3 linked regions of the Arabidopsis thaliana genome follow. The protein of the gene in region 2 interacts with the protein of the main gene of each other region in a pairwise test. Each region holds a gene or a part of one and is shown on either strand. Other genes may lie near its edges.

Evidence for each region.
Region 1: the proteins of AT4G16444 (region 2) and PRA1.B2 interact in a protein complementation assay, tested with the Arabidopsis thaliana proteins (one large-scale study listed by BioGRID).
Region 3: the proteins of AT4G16444 (region 2) and AT4G23930 interact in a protein complementation assay, tested with the Arabidopsis thaliana proteins (one large-scale study listed by BioGRID).

What each region holds. Positions count from the first base shown.
Region 1 is NC_003071.7:16,863,623-16,867,482, forward strand, and holds PRA1.B2 (prenylated RAB acceptor 1.B2), read right to left. Parts: upstream 1,966-3,860; 5' UTR 1,754-1,965; coding exon 1,112-1,753; 3' UTR 824-1,111; downstream 1-823. Other genes in the region: AT2G40390 (neuronal PAS domain protein), read left to right, coding at 3,763-3,860. UniProt on the Arabidopsis thaliana protein: May be involved in both secretory and endocytic intracellular trafficking in the endosomal/prevacuolar compartments.
Region 2 is NC_003075.7:9,273,631-9,278,456, forward strand, and holds AT4G16444 (tail-anchored protein insertion receptor WRB-like protein), read right to left. Parts: upstream 2,818-4,826; 5' UTR 2,629-2,817; intron 2,469-2,628; 5' UTR 2,427-2,468; coding exon 2,316-2,426; intron 2,241-2,315; coding exon 2,161-2,240; intron 2,038-2,160; coding exon 1,967-2,037; intron 1,676-1,966; coding exon 1,605-1,675; intron 1,521-1,604; coding exon 1,439-1,520; intron 1,356-1,438; coding exon 1,306-1,355; intron 1,233-1,305; coding exon 1,161-1,232; 3' UTR 808-1,160; downstream 1-807.
Region 3 is NC_003075.7:12,435,177-12,438,839, reverse strand, and holds AT4G23930 (Late embryogenesis abundant (LEA) hydroxyproline-rich glycoprotein family), read left to right. Parts: upstream 1-2,012; 5' UTR 2,013-2,145; coding exon 2,146-2,709; 3' UTR 2,710-2,840; downstream 2,841-3,663. Other genes in the region: FtsHi1 (FtsH extracellular protease family), read right to left, coding at 1-32, 126-179, 264-698, 862-946, 1,041-1,732.

The DNA of each region.
Region 1 (3,860 bases), on a different chromosome or scaffold from region 2:
CCTTCCGAGAAGAAATCATGGTCTTTGAAATGACATGAGAAATGACGATATCTTGAACTGCTACTTATGAAATTTCTTGATTAATTATTAGTAGCATGGGAATTATATTGGTTTACTCTATTTCTTTGGTTTCCTTTGTATCTTAATTCCATTAGTCAAAAGTGGGTACGAACCCTAACTAGGTTCACATTTTTGTTGTCGATTTGTCAAACCTTCTCGTTACAAGTGGGATAATCTTCTTTACACAAGAGGATTTGTCTATTTATCTTCATGTTTAATGGTTAGTAACTTAGTACCTAAGTGTTGTTTTTATCTCACATTCTCACCAATAATTAGAATCCAGGAAAAGATTTCACAAGACATTCTTAACATTAAAACCAAAGAAAAAAGATTTCACAAGACACAACTCATTCCACGAAAATATATCTCATGTTATGAAGATTAAAAACAGGTCACCTATATTATATCTAAGAAAGAAGCAACTCAGTGAGACTTTGACCGAAAAAGACAATTCAGGTGACCGAATCTTCAGTTTGTTTTTGGCAGCCGAGTTTTTAAGACAAAATCCCCAAACTAAACGTGTGTCGTTTTTGTCAAATTGGCCAAACATGTAAATCCAGTGGGAAACTTTCCCATGATATAACCCTCTTACTATCAGCAAATTCGTACACAGTATTGGCTGTTCGCTTTCGAGATAGAGGAAACTTGTGGAAGAATAAAATAGTTGGTAGCTAGAGAGACATAGACATAACTAGTTACAAGATTTACATCTACCACGTATGTTGTTAAACTACATGTTGTTTGTTTAATCCTTAATACTTTGGTCAAACTATAATCTTCACTGGTTTAGTCTAAATCTAACTCAAACATATGGTGATGAAGGCAAAGAGTATCAAATTGATTTAAGGTAAATGAGATCTTACAATACTTGAGAAGGATCAGCTCCAAATTTTCTAAATTGTGACGAAATTGAAGAATACAACACAACAATGCATCTTTAGATCTAACACTTACAGATCTTCATCGAATCTATACTCAAAACATAACTAAAAACCCTGAGAATCCAGGTTTCGTTTGTTCTCTAGGATCAGAATCATCAAATTCGAGCTTCTCAAACTCGTCCTGCAACAACAGAAGCAGCAGCAGAAGTAGCAGCAGAATTACCAATGAACGAGAGTAAACCAGCATTAGCAGGCTCTTGTTCATCCAAGAACAAATCATCAGGAACCCTAAACGCACCATGTAAGCAAACAATCGCGATTCCAATCGTTAACGCCGATGTTAACAAAGATCCAACACTCGTCATAAACACAACCACAATCGTAGTCAAAACAAGACCAAGCAAAGTCTCACGATCTGAGAAACTACGACCAAAGAGAACCAAAGGCTGATCTGAAGATCGGAAGAGGTAGAGAAACATCCAGGAGCCTAAGAGAGAGAGGAGGACGAGAAGCGAGAATGGATGCGAGAGGAGGGAGAAAGCAAGGACTAACGAGACAATTGCGGAGTAATTGACTTTGAAGTAAGCGAGATTCTTACGGATCCGGGAGAAGGAATCGGTGAGAGAGTCAGGTCTAGCGAAGGAGCTCCGATCTACGAGTTCTAGCCATGGACGGCGTTGAGAGAGGCTTTCGCGGAGAGAGGACGAGAGGCGTGAGAGGAAAGTACGGAAGGCGTGAGAATTGATTGGAGGTTGAGATTGAGTGGCTGCTTGCTGGTTGGTGACGGGAAGAATCGCCGGAGAAGAAGACATTATTGGTGGTGTCGGTGAGTCTGTGCGCGGCGGAGAGAGTGTGAATTTGTTGTTCCGATTTTAGTGGAAACTGAAGTTGCGGCAAAACCGTGTTAGATATTCTAAAGGCCTAAATTTTATGGGCCTATAATGTTTTGGAATAGGCCCAATATATTAAGTTGGAGTTAATAGCAATTTTTAGATGGGTCTATAATGTTGGAAGAGGCCCAATATATTCCACTATTGGTTCATAAAACCATTTTTTTTTTTTCAACAAACAAACAATCTTACTGGTTCAGTGGTTTGTATCTATATGATGTTACAAGGATAACACAACACAAACTAGTAAATTAGTGTAGTTAATAATATTCTAATTTTATTTGCAGATAAATTACGACTTCCTACAATTGTTTATATGATCATTTCAATAATTATCATCTCATTTCCCACCCTATGAGTGTTCTCGTTGAACAAATGAAACAATCATATGATCAATTGATCATGAATGATAAAGGTTTACTAAATATATCTATAAACTGTGAAATTAAATTATATACAAATTATGTACACTTGAAGCTAAACAAATTATGAATTATATACAAATACAAATTATATACATAAATAAATATGAATTATGAGTTATATATGAATTATGGTGTCTTGAGACACCAGGAACTTGGGGCAAAGACAACTGGAGGGAACTCGAGAGCATTTTTAAAGACGCCTATGCAACCGGTGGTGGAGACTACATGAAGAAGGGGGTGCAAGCGATAAAAGATGAGTTTGACATGATTGGGACAATCAAAATGAGATAATGAAAACAAATGGAGGTTTGCGGAACTTGTTCATGTTGAGATGACCGAGATAAATGAGGTTGACGAGAATAACAAGAAGGTAAAGGTAACATGTAGTTACTTTCTCAAATTCGTGGATGGAAACAATAAGATATTCTCACTCAGCCTAGGCAATGTTGAACTCAAACGTTGCACTATCAATTAGTGAACTCCAAATCTACACTATCAATAATGTGTTCTTGTTTTGCTTCGTCTAGCCAATTTATTTGGCATAAACACTTGGTGTTTTAATTTGGTTTTTCTAAAATTCTACTGTTGCTTTATCTAAAACTCTACTTGAGTTTTGTTTTGTTTGGTGTTTGCGTTTGCTTTTTGGAGTGTTTTCTTTTGAACTTTTGCTCAAGTGATTGATTGCTTTTTGGAGTGTTTATCATCGAGTCGTTAGTTATGTAGCCACTATTAATTAGTCGTTTGAAAAGTAGATGAAAATTAAGACTTGAGGAAATCAAACACAATCCATAATTTGAATTCACCCCGAAGATAATGATCAGCTGCTATTGTAATCGTCAGGCTTCAAGTGTATATAATTTATATTTGTATATAATTCATAATTCGTATTTATTTATTTATGTATAATTATTTGAACACACTCCATAATTCGTATTCGTATTTATGTATATACAAACACACTCCATAATTCGTATTTATTTATGTATCAAACATATAATTAGTAAACTAAATAAAGACGAAGAAACATTATTGAGTAGAATAGAGGCATCGAATAACAATATTCGTCGGCCTAATCAAGAATATTTCTTGGAAATTCGGGTTGAAATCCACATATGGAAGAATCTTGAATAGCACGTACTTTATCAATTTAATTACATCCCTCTTAACGGTCTAGCTACTCTAATTATCATCTAAACCTTTTTCCTTGTACGTTATCTCATAATTTGCAGGACTCTTAATCATTATCACATTTCAAATTTTCAATATTTTACTAAAGAGACGTCTCGTGTTCGTGCGTAGCTCTATATTTTCTGGTTTACGTAAAATAGTTCATGATTTTGTTTAGCTTACCTTTTGAAAAAAATAAGCGAATCTTTCTTCCTTTACTTTTCTTCCACTCATTAAAATGTTCTCTCTATATATAAATGATAAATCTAGTCTTCTAATCATATACTCTCTATACCACACATATCTAGAACAACAACTAGATATTCAATATTAGCTCTAATGGCTTCTTGTGACACACCTGATGCGTTTGCTTGGCTTCAAACTCTTCCTCCTCTTTCTCTATGGAAAGGAAATTTAATGTCCATGTGTATTTGCTC
Region 2 (4,826 bases):
TGTCGTGACTTCTTGTTTTAGAGTAAACTTTTAATATGCTATTGAATTAGGGGTGATAGAGAGACACAGAAACATAGTCCCTAAATCTGCCAAGTGGTAGAAAAGTTCTTGTAGACGTTACTACGTATATTATTATGAGATGCATTGAATTGAAATGTGCATGGGTTCTGATCACAAACCCAAAACACAACATTTTTCTAACATCCCCCCTCCCTTAAAGACGAAAGTGAGATATCACAATGACCTTTAGGATTAATTAAATTACAATGCTCCATATTTGTCTTTTAATGTTCTAGGAAAATGGAGAGAAGAAGAAGAAGAAGAAGAGAAGATTGTTATCTATCCCGAGGAGATTATTAAATTATTAAGATGGGACTTTGGATGCCCACATACACAACTATTTAATGAACCTTCTTCTTATTTATTGCACTTCCCATCTCCCAATTAGCCCCTCTAACCAAACCCTTTTCTTTGGTTCTGTCTTATTAACTCTTACTAATAGGCTTAACCAAATCCAATCAAGTTCTTTGATTTAGAAAGACAAGTGTAGATGATGTGACACGTGCACGTTCCTTTCAAACCAAACAAGATACTATGATTTAAATTGTTTTCCTTAATTAAGTAATGTGGTGGTTGGAAGTGGATATTATAATGCCCTCGAATTAATTGCTAAAAAGATTCTCCCATTAAACTTTAGTGCCTTCACCAAGCTACCCACTTTTAATAATAGTAAGTATTTTTATTTCTCTCTTCCATTTTCGGTGATATAATGCTACATCTTAATGAACCACATGCATTGGCATCGTGTTGAATAAGTACACGCGTCTTTAGAATCTGATTTTACAAAGTCGGTGTTACAAGATAAAAATTGACAACACGTAGAGGAATAGAGACAATGTGTTTGTTATGGTGTATATATACACATTGGGTAAATATTGGGGCTGCTTCTACGGTAACAACCTGCTCAACTCTCAAAAACGAACTACTTGTTATTGGTAAAATCCAACAAACAACCAGAGAAAAAGAGTCATATAAATATACATTGTTAAGGAAGATTAGGAACAAAAAGAGAAGCACAATTTCTGCCACAAGTGTCTCCTAAAAGGCTACAACTTTGAACTCAAAAACCATCCAATCTTCACTCTTTTCAGGGATGCGATTTAGAACTCCACGAACCTACACACATATTTGCTCACTCTGTTTGAGAGTATGAGCCACGGTATGATCCCGACCTGCATTTTTACCCAACCAACACTCTCAATCAAGAACAAGCCCAAATAAATGGATTGAGAAGAAGGAACTTACCATTACATGGCCTGTCATGTGACCTCCTGTTCCCCAAGATAACAAAGTCCCTGTGAAACACACCACATTCATTTTTTTCCTATGTGTTATATACCATAAGCGAGCTTTAACCTGGTAAAAGTAAACTACTCACCAAACGGTTGAACAAGTTGCTTAGCGATAATGGCAATTGGAGTCCTCCAGAAGCACAATACCAAGATTAGGTATATCACAACCTAGAAACAAAGTTCTTAGCACATCTCGATTAAGGAGTTTTAGACGGAAAAAAAGAAGAAGCTTGAGCACACAAACTAAGCTACCTTCGAAGCAAGCAGACCCTTCCCATACATATCGTATGAAAGCTTGATTTCTTTGTGATGCTGCTCCAGATCTAAAATTTCAAAATGAGAATTAACAAATACACACACACACCAATACTACACCATGATGATGCAGTGCTTTAGTAGGAATATCTGCTACCAGATAGTATTCATGTTTAAAGCTAACTAACTGTTGCATCATATTTCTGAATTTCATGAACTCTACACTCACAAAGCAATCAATCATATTTCTGAATTTCATGATCTCTACACTCACTAAGCAATCAATCATATTTCTGAATTTCATGAACTCTACGCTCACTAAGCAATCAATGTAGAACTAATAATGTATGCATACTCACATTGTGCAAGTTCTTTCTCTTTAGTAGCTGCTGACCTCCTAAGTTTCGCTGCTTGCGCAAATGTGGCTGGCCTGCAAGTAAACAATAGATAAATCTCTAATCAACAACACTCATATATATATTTTTCAACAACTGCACCTTCCTTAACTCAAATCACTAGAACCAAAACAAAATGTGACAACAAAATGGCTTACTGAGACAATGCACTAGCCTCTCTCAAAAGCTGCTTAATTTCGGTTCGCAGCTCTGATTCCCTCGTGTTCTTCGACCCTTTCTGAAGAAATTCCATAATTCAAAACGATGATTCATGTGGATATGAAAAAAAGCCAAAAAGTATTATCTTTTTTACCTTCTTCAATTGGTCAAGCCACTTGGATAGCAATTGGAAGACAACGACGACGACGAAGGTCAGAGGAGCAGCCAAAAAGCCGCGATCTTCTATAAGCTTCTCTCCTTCCATTAACCCTTTTGCTGATTACTGATTCTAACGTAATTCACCAATCTGCTCGAACAATTCATAACTCAGTACCATTCAGATCAACAAAATAAAAGCCTTAATTGAATCCATCATGTTCTGGATAAACATATCATCTAATCAATGGAGGAGGAAAAGATTCTAGTGCATATAGAATGAGATCGTCGTGAGTATGATCGGAACTTACAATCTCCGTCGTGGATTCACAGAAATTTGAAGCCTTCAAGCCGAGGTTAACGTCTGAAATTGAACGAACGATGGGAATTTAGAATTGGCCTGAATCTGTAAAAGAGGAGGGTTCTGATTTTGATAAAACAAAAGTTTCTACTCGTTTCGTGAAATAAATAAAACTCAAGCCCTTATGTGTAAACAACAATAACTAAACCCTTTTTCAACAGGCTCTATTGGGCTTCGTTGAAATAAAGAAACGGCCCATTAAATTAAAACTAAACCGCTTGTTTATTTTCTTTAAAATTTCATTAAGCTTGGGTATACATGAGTACATGTGAAAAGAAACAACAACTAGGCTACAAGTTTCAGTCAACAGTAAAAGTATCCAAATTTAGAATGAATAGGATAAAAATAGATATAAATAGTAGAGATGTAGTAAAACTACAAAATGGAGGGTAAGAAATTAGAAATGTGAAAATTTAACAAACATAATGTATTCTTTTTACGTGGAGTGGTTGTAATGGTTTTACCAGAAATGGCACGCGTTGTCTCTAATCTTTCTCAACTAATCTAAAGACACTATATGTTTTGTCTCATCCGATCCCACTTAATTATGTTAATCATCTATCTAATTGGGGTTATCACCAAATCAGAGCATTATCGATAACATCGCAGATACCGAAGCTGAAAAAAGGAAGAAAAACAATGTAAGTCCAAATCCTAAACGTCGTAGCATCTTCAGCTTTCGTGTATGCATGCCATTATATTCCAATTACTTGACGACAAACTTTTGCTCCCACCACTTTTGATGTGCCTTTCAAACTTTGTATCCCCATTGTCCACTTCCTCTTTCTTTCAACCCGCTCCGTTTTGTAGCTATACTGTCTCACTTTTTTTCGTTGTTAGAGGTGTAACAATAAATTTACCAATTTAATCTAATATATCATTTCATTTGTAATGATATCAACATTCTTATCTAATATCAACAATCAAGAGTGATACATTATAAAGGCATTTGACATTTGTATATATTGGTGAATATATGTGAGATAAGTTTTGTACCTTGTGGACCAATTAATGTGGGGAGTTTGCAGAATCCGACTATGAAGTGAAACTCAAAATGCACACATGTGGTTTAGAATTGTATCAGAAAATTTTACATTATATGGGTGTTAAGAATTATATGTACTGCAATTATTATATATATCAAACACAACTAATATCTATTATATAAGATTATCACGATAGGAAATATATAAGTTTGCATCGGCTTTGCATTGAACACATATATTAATTGATACGTATATAGTATTCTACTTTTTTATAAATTAATCTTTTCGATCCCTAAATTAGTAAAAATATGATAATGTACATGCATGGATGTTTTCATTATGGGAAGGGAGCGTAGAGTAGCATTTTGATCGAGAGAAAACGAGGAGATCGAGAGAGAATGTCTTGTGTAAAAATGAGTGGTCTTTTTCACAATTATTTATCAATCAAAACACATCTCATACATATATGTTGATATCATTATTCCCTAGTCTATTGAACTCCATTTGTCTTTTTATCAATAGATAGGCCCACTTTTTATATACTTTTTCCTCCTTGCCAAATCATAAGAAGTTAAAACTTAAAAGTGGATCAACTAATTTATAGAAACCATTAACAACTTTTGACACTCTTCTTTAATGTGTGTTTCATTTTTAATTGAATGCCAATAATATAACTTTAAATTCCACTGAGAAGATTTGACGTAGAGACAAAGAAGTGGCTCCAATTCACCATCTCCCAAGCCACCAAAATCTCTCCTAAACCCTTTTGTCACTCCCTTTTCTCATATTCACTTTTTTTCCAAGGAATATTTAAAACCTCATGCAAGTTTTCTTGAATATAACAACATACGAATATGATCTTTGATTAGATTACTCTTTTATATATTATGGTTAGGCATGTCCTTGCAAGATTTTTGTATTTAACATATTGAAAATTTATCATTGAATTACAACTCTGTTATGCATACAATCAAATCAAACGTTTAAGAAGACCATCCCTTATATATATTTATATACACCCTATATTCTCGGGATGTAATAAAGTTTCCATTTCAAATAAAAAGAGCCCTTAAAGGGAGGTAAGTGGGGGGCATGAAAAAAGGGTTTATATATCTCAATAATCATCCAAACAAACCAATCCATGTGCTTCCCTTCAAACATT
Region 3 (3,663 bases), 3.2 Mb from region 2:
GCAACATCAGCGAATTTAACACCGGTTGAACCCTGAAATATAATCATTGAAGTCATAAAAAACTCAACCAAAAAAGTATTAGAACTGAAGAAACATGCATATAGGAGTAATGGTTAGAAACTTACATCAACACGAGCTTCTGCTTTAGACTGAGAAAAAGCAATCCCTTGCCATAAATCCTGCAAAAACATTTGAAGTGATTGAGGGCGCAAGCGATATCAATAGATTCTGCAAAAAAGTGTTGAGTGATTAAAGTATTATACCCATTTCCTAAAGTTCTTTGGTCTCCGTGACAGTGTGAAACGAACAAGAAGAACCATAGTCATGACAACAAGTAGGATTGGTTTGAGCATCTCCAGACTTGATGCTACACCACCAAATGTATAGAAATCAGAAATCCTTGAGAAGATGCCCCCATCGGCGAGAACATCAACAATGTAATCCCATGATTTTTCAAGAACACCAAGGAAGACGCCAACAAAAAGTTTGAGGAATGGCTTTGCTATAGGCCAAACAACATATACTGTAGTGACAAAGGCGAAACTAGTGACTGCAAAAACAGCTGAGGCTAAGAATCCTCCAACAACAACTGCGGCTGCAGCAATAACTGCTGTCACCATTCCCAGCTCAACCATCACTCTACTTGAAATAGAAGACGCAACAGGGTTTGGGAAGTCCGCCACTTTTCCAACCCAAGACTGCAAACATATAAACTCAGTCAATAACAGAACAAAATAGATCTGTTTGTCAACCTAGTGAATAGGTTATGAAAAATTCCTAACCAACACAATACAAAAATATTGAGGACATTAGATTATATAATCTAGTAGATAAGATCTAAATGAACAAAAGCGTGATCACCGTCATGTGCCTTTCAATTTCGTACTGCGGACCCGTGTATTCTTTCAGAAGAGCTTGAGCTTCTCCAACTTCAAGCTTCATTGACCTATCAAGAAACAGATCAATAAGAAAATCATACCAATATTCTCCATACATCAAAATTAAAACTTTTATTCTTCTTCTTAATCCTAGTAATTCACCATTTGGTTCTCTGTAAGCTCTTGACTCCAGGAATCTCCTTAAGATCAACAATAAAACCTCTATAGCCACTCGTATAAGAAACACCAGAAACTTCCTTCGATGTAAGCAGCTTAACTTTATCATTCTCCATAGCTTTTCTAAAATCTTCCAAACTCATCTTTGGTAAATCTTTCACATTTTTCTCAAACTCCTCTTCTTCAGATAACTCTGGCCCAAAAACTTGCTCCGGAACATAAAGCTTTCCTTTGTACTCCCTCAAAATATCACTCAAATAAACAGACTCTTCGCTTTTGTCTGTCTCTGTTTTCTTCTTCGAATCAAACTTCCTTTTGATAAATTCAAACGCACCCGTCGCCGCATTGGTGCCTTTGCTTAAATCTTCTCTCTCCTTCAGATTATACAGCTTATCACCAACTCGGTAACGAGGTTCCACTTGGCTAGGATTCTCCTTCAAAACCCTAGTTACGAAATCGTCAGCAGCAGGGGAATTGTTCGTCTCGCCGGAGCTAGATGACCCAGTTTTCAATTCGCACAAAACTGTAAACGACCGACGCAGAATTGGAGCTCTCCATCGAGTTTGAGTTCTCGCGGAGAAACTCGATGTAGTCGCGTGTTTCAATATCGATCTCTTGGGGTTTTCTGGGATTGAGAACCGAGTACCGAGTGAGAAAACATTGTCTATAGACGCCATTTTACGACGATAACCATGTACAGAAGAAAAAGAAGCTTCACTAGAATCGCATTGCGAAATTTGAATCTCTCTTCGTTCTGGATAAGAAAATAGAGCAATCGGAGGTTTATTCAATCTCAGGAGGTTTTTGTTCTGTTAGCTCTAAATTACAACAATTCGACCCGACTTCGAAACCCGGTTTCTGTTCCGGGTACATTGTTTGTTCACTAAAATAATTTATTTAGCTCTAGTCGGCCACCTTCGCTGCATCACACACACTTAAGTCCAAACTCCGTTGTAACGTTATCACTATGTCCAAACAAAACATCCTTTTGCTTTTACACGTCGTTTTGCTTTCCCTTTAACCAAAAATAAACTCTTTATCCCAACTAGTGAACACTTAAATCATCGCTACCAAACATCTCCACCGAGAAATGTCGAAGTCTTGTTCAAACCTCGCTTCATGCGCCGTCGCCACGCTCTTCATAGTCTTCTTAATCATCGCCGCACTTACTGTTTATCTCACAGTCTTTAGACCGAGAGATCCTGAGATCTCCGTCACTAGCGTCAAGGTTCCTTCATTCTCCGTCGCTAATAGCTCCGTTAGTTTCACCTTTTCTCAATTCTCCGCCGTTAGAAACCCTAACCGCGCAGCTTTCTCACACTACAACAATGTAATCCAGCTCTTTTACTATGGAAACCGGATCGGTTATACCTTCGTACCTGCTGGTGAGATCGAATCGGGTCGAACCAAGCGTATGTTAGCTACTTTCTCCGTTCAGTCGTTTCCTCTCGCGGCGGCCTCTAGTTCTCAAATCTCCGCCGCCCAATTTCAAAATTCGGATCGGTCCGGGTCAACAGTGGAAATAGAGTCGAAGCTGGAGATGGCGGGTCGGGTTCGGGTTCTCGGTTTGTTTACTCACCGAATCGCGGCTAAATGTAATTGTAGGATCGCGATTTCCTCGAGTGATGGTTCCATCGTAGCCGTCCGTTGTTAATATTAAAAAACAATTGTAAAAGTGACATGGTTATTTTTCAAAAATACATGTATGTGAAGTGAAACCTCTTGGGTTCTTTTCTGAATCCATCAAGTTAGAAAATTGCAAATATTAATACAAAGCTATTGTACTTTTAGATTTTGTACGTATACTAAATTACAACTTAACACGAAATTTTCGGTTGCCAATTGTAATAGCCTTAACATTAGTCTACATAGATATGCATGCTTTCCATATTCTTTGTTTGGATTAACGTTTTCTGTATAGTAAATACACTTATAGCCATAACGTAGGGCCGGGTATTCGGGTATGCGGGTCGGTTCGGGTAATACCCGATCGGGTACGGGTATACTGTTCTAGAATCCAATAGAGTAAATAGAAAACTTCGGTGGTTCGGTTCTAATCGGGTTTGGGTTGGTTCGGGTATAGAATTTTAGAACCGTTAAATACTCGAAAAAAACGGGTATCCTTCGGATTCATGTATTTTATATCCAAATACCCAAAAATTTACCCAAATACCCGAAATTGTACCAAATACCCGAAATTTGTACCCAAATAGTCGATAATTTTACCCAAATACCCGAAATTATACCCAAATAGTCGAAAATTTTACCCAAATATCTGAATTTTACCCGAATAACCGAAATTTTGTCCAAATATCCAAAACATTTACGAATATTTTGCATATATAAAATATTTAGTATTAAGTATTTAAATATAGGTACATTTAGTTTTTAGTAATTATTATTGGATATTTGGATATAAATGTATTTGGTTCAAATATTAAATATAAAATAAATTTTTATATGTATAAATCTATGAATAAGTATATGTAATTTCGGATAAGTTGATACCCTTTCGGGTATCGGGTTTGGGTCGGCTATTATCCTATATCCACGGGTACAACAATCTAAAACCCAATAGGGTAAATAGCTAATATACGTACCCGCCCCA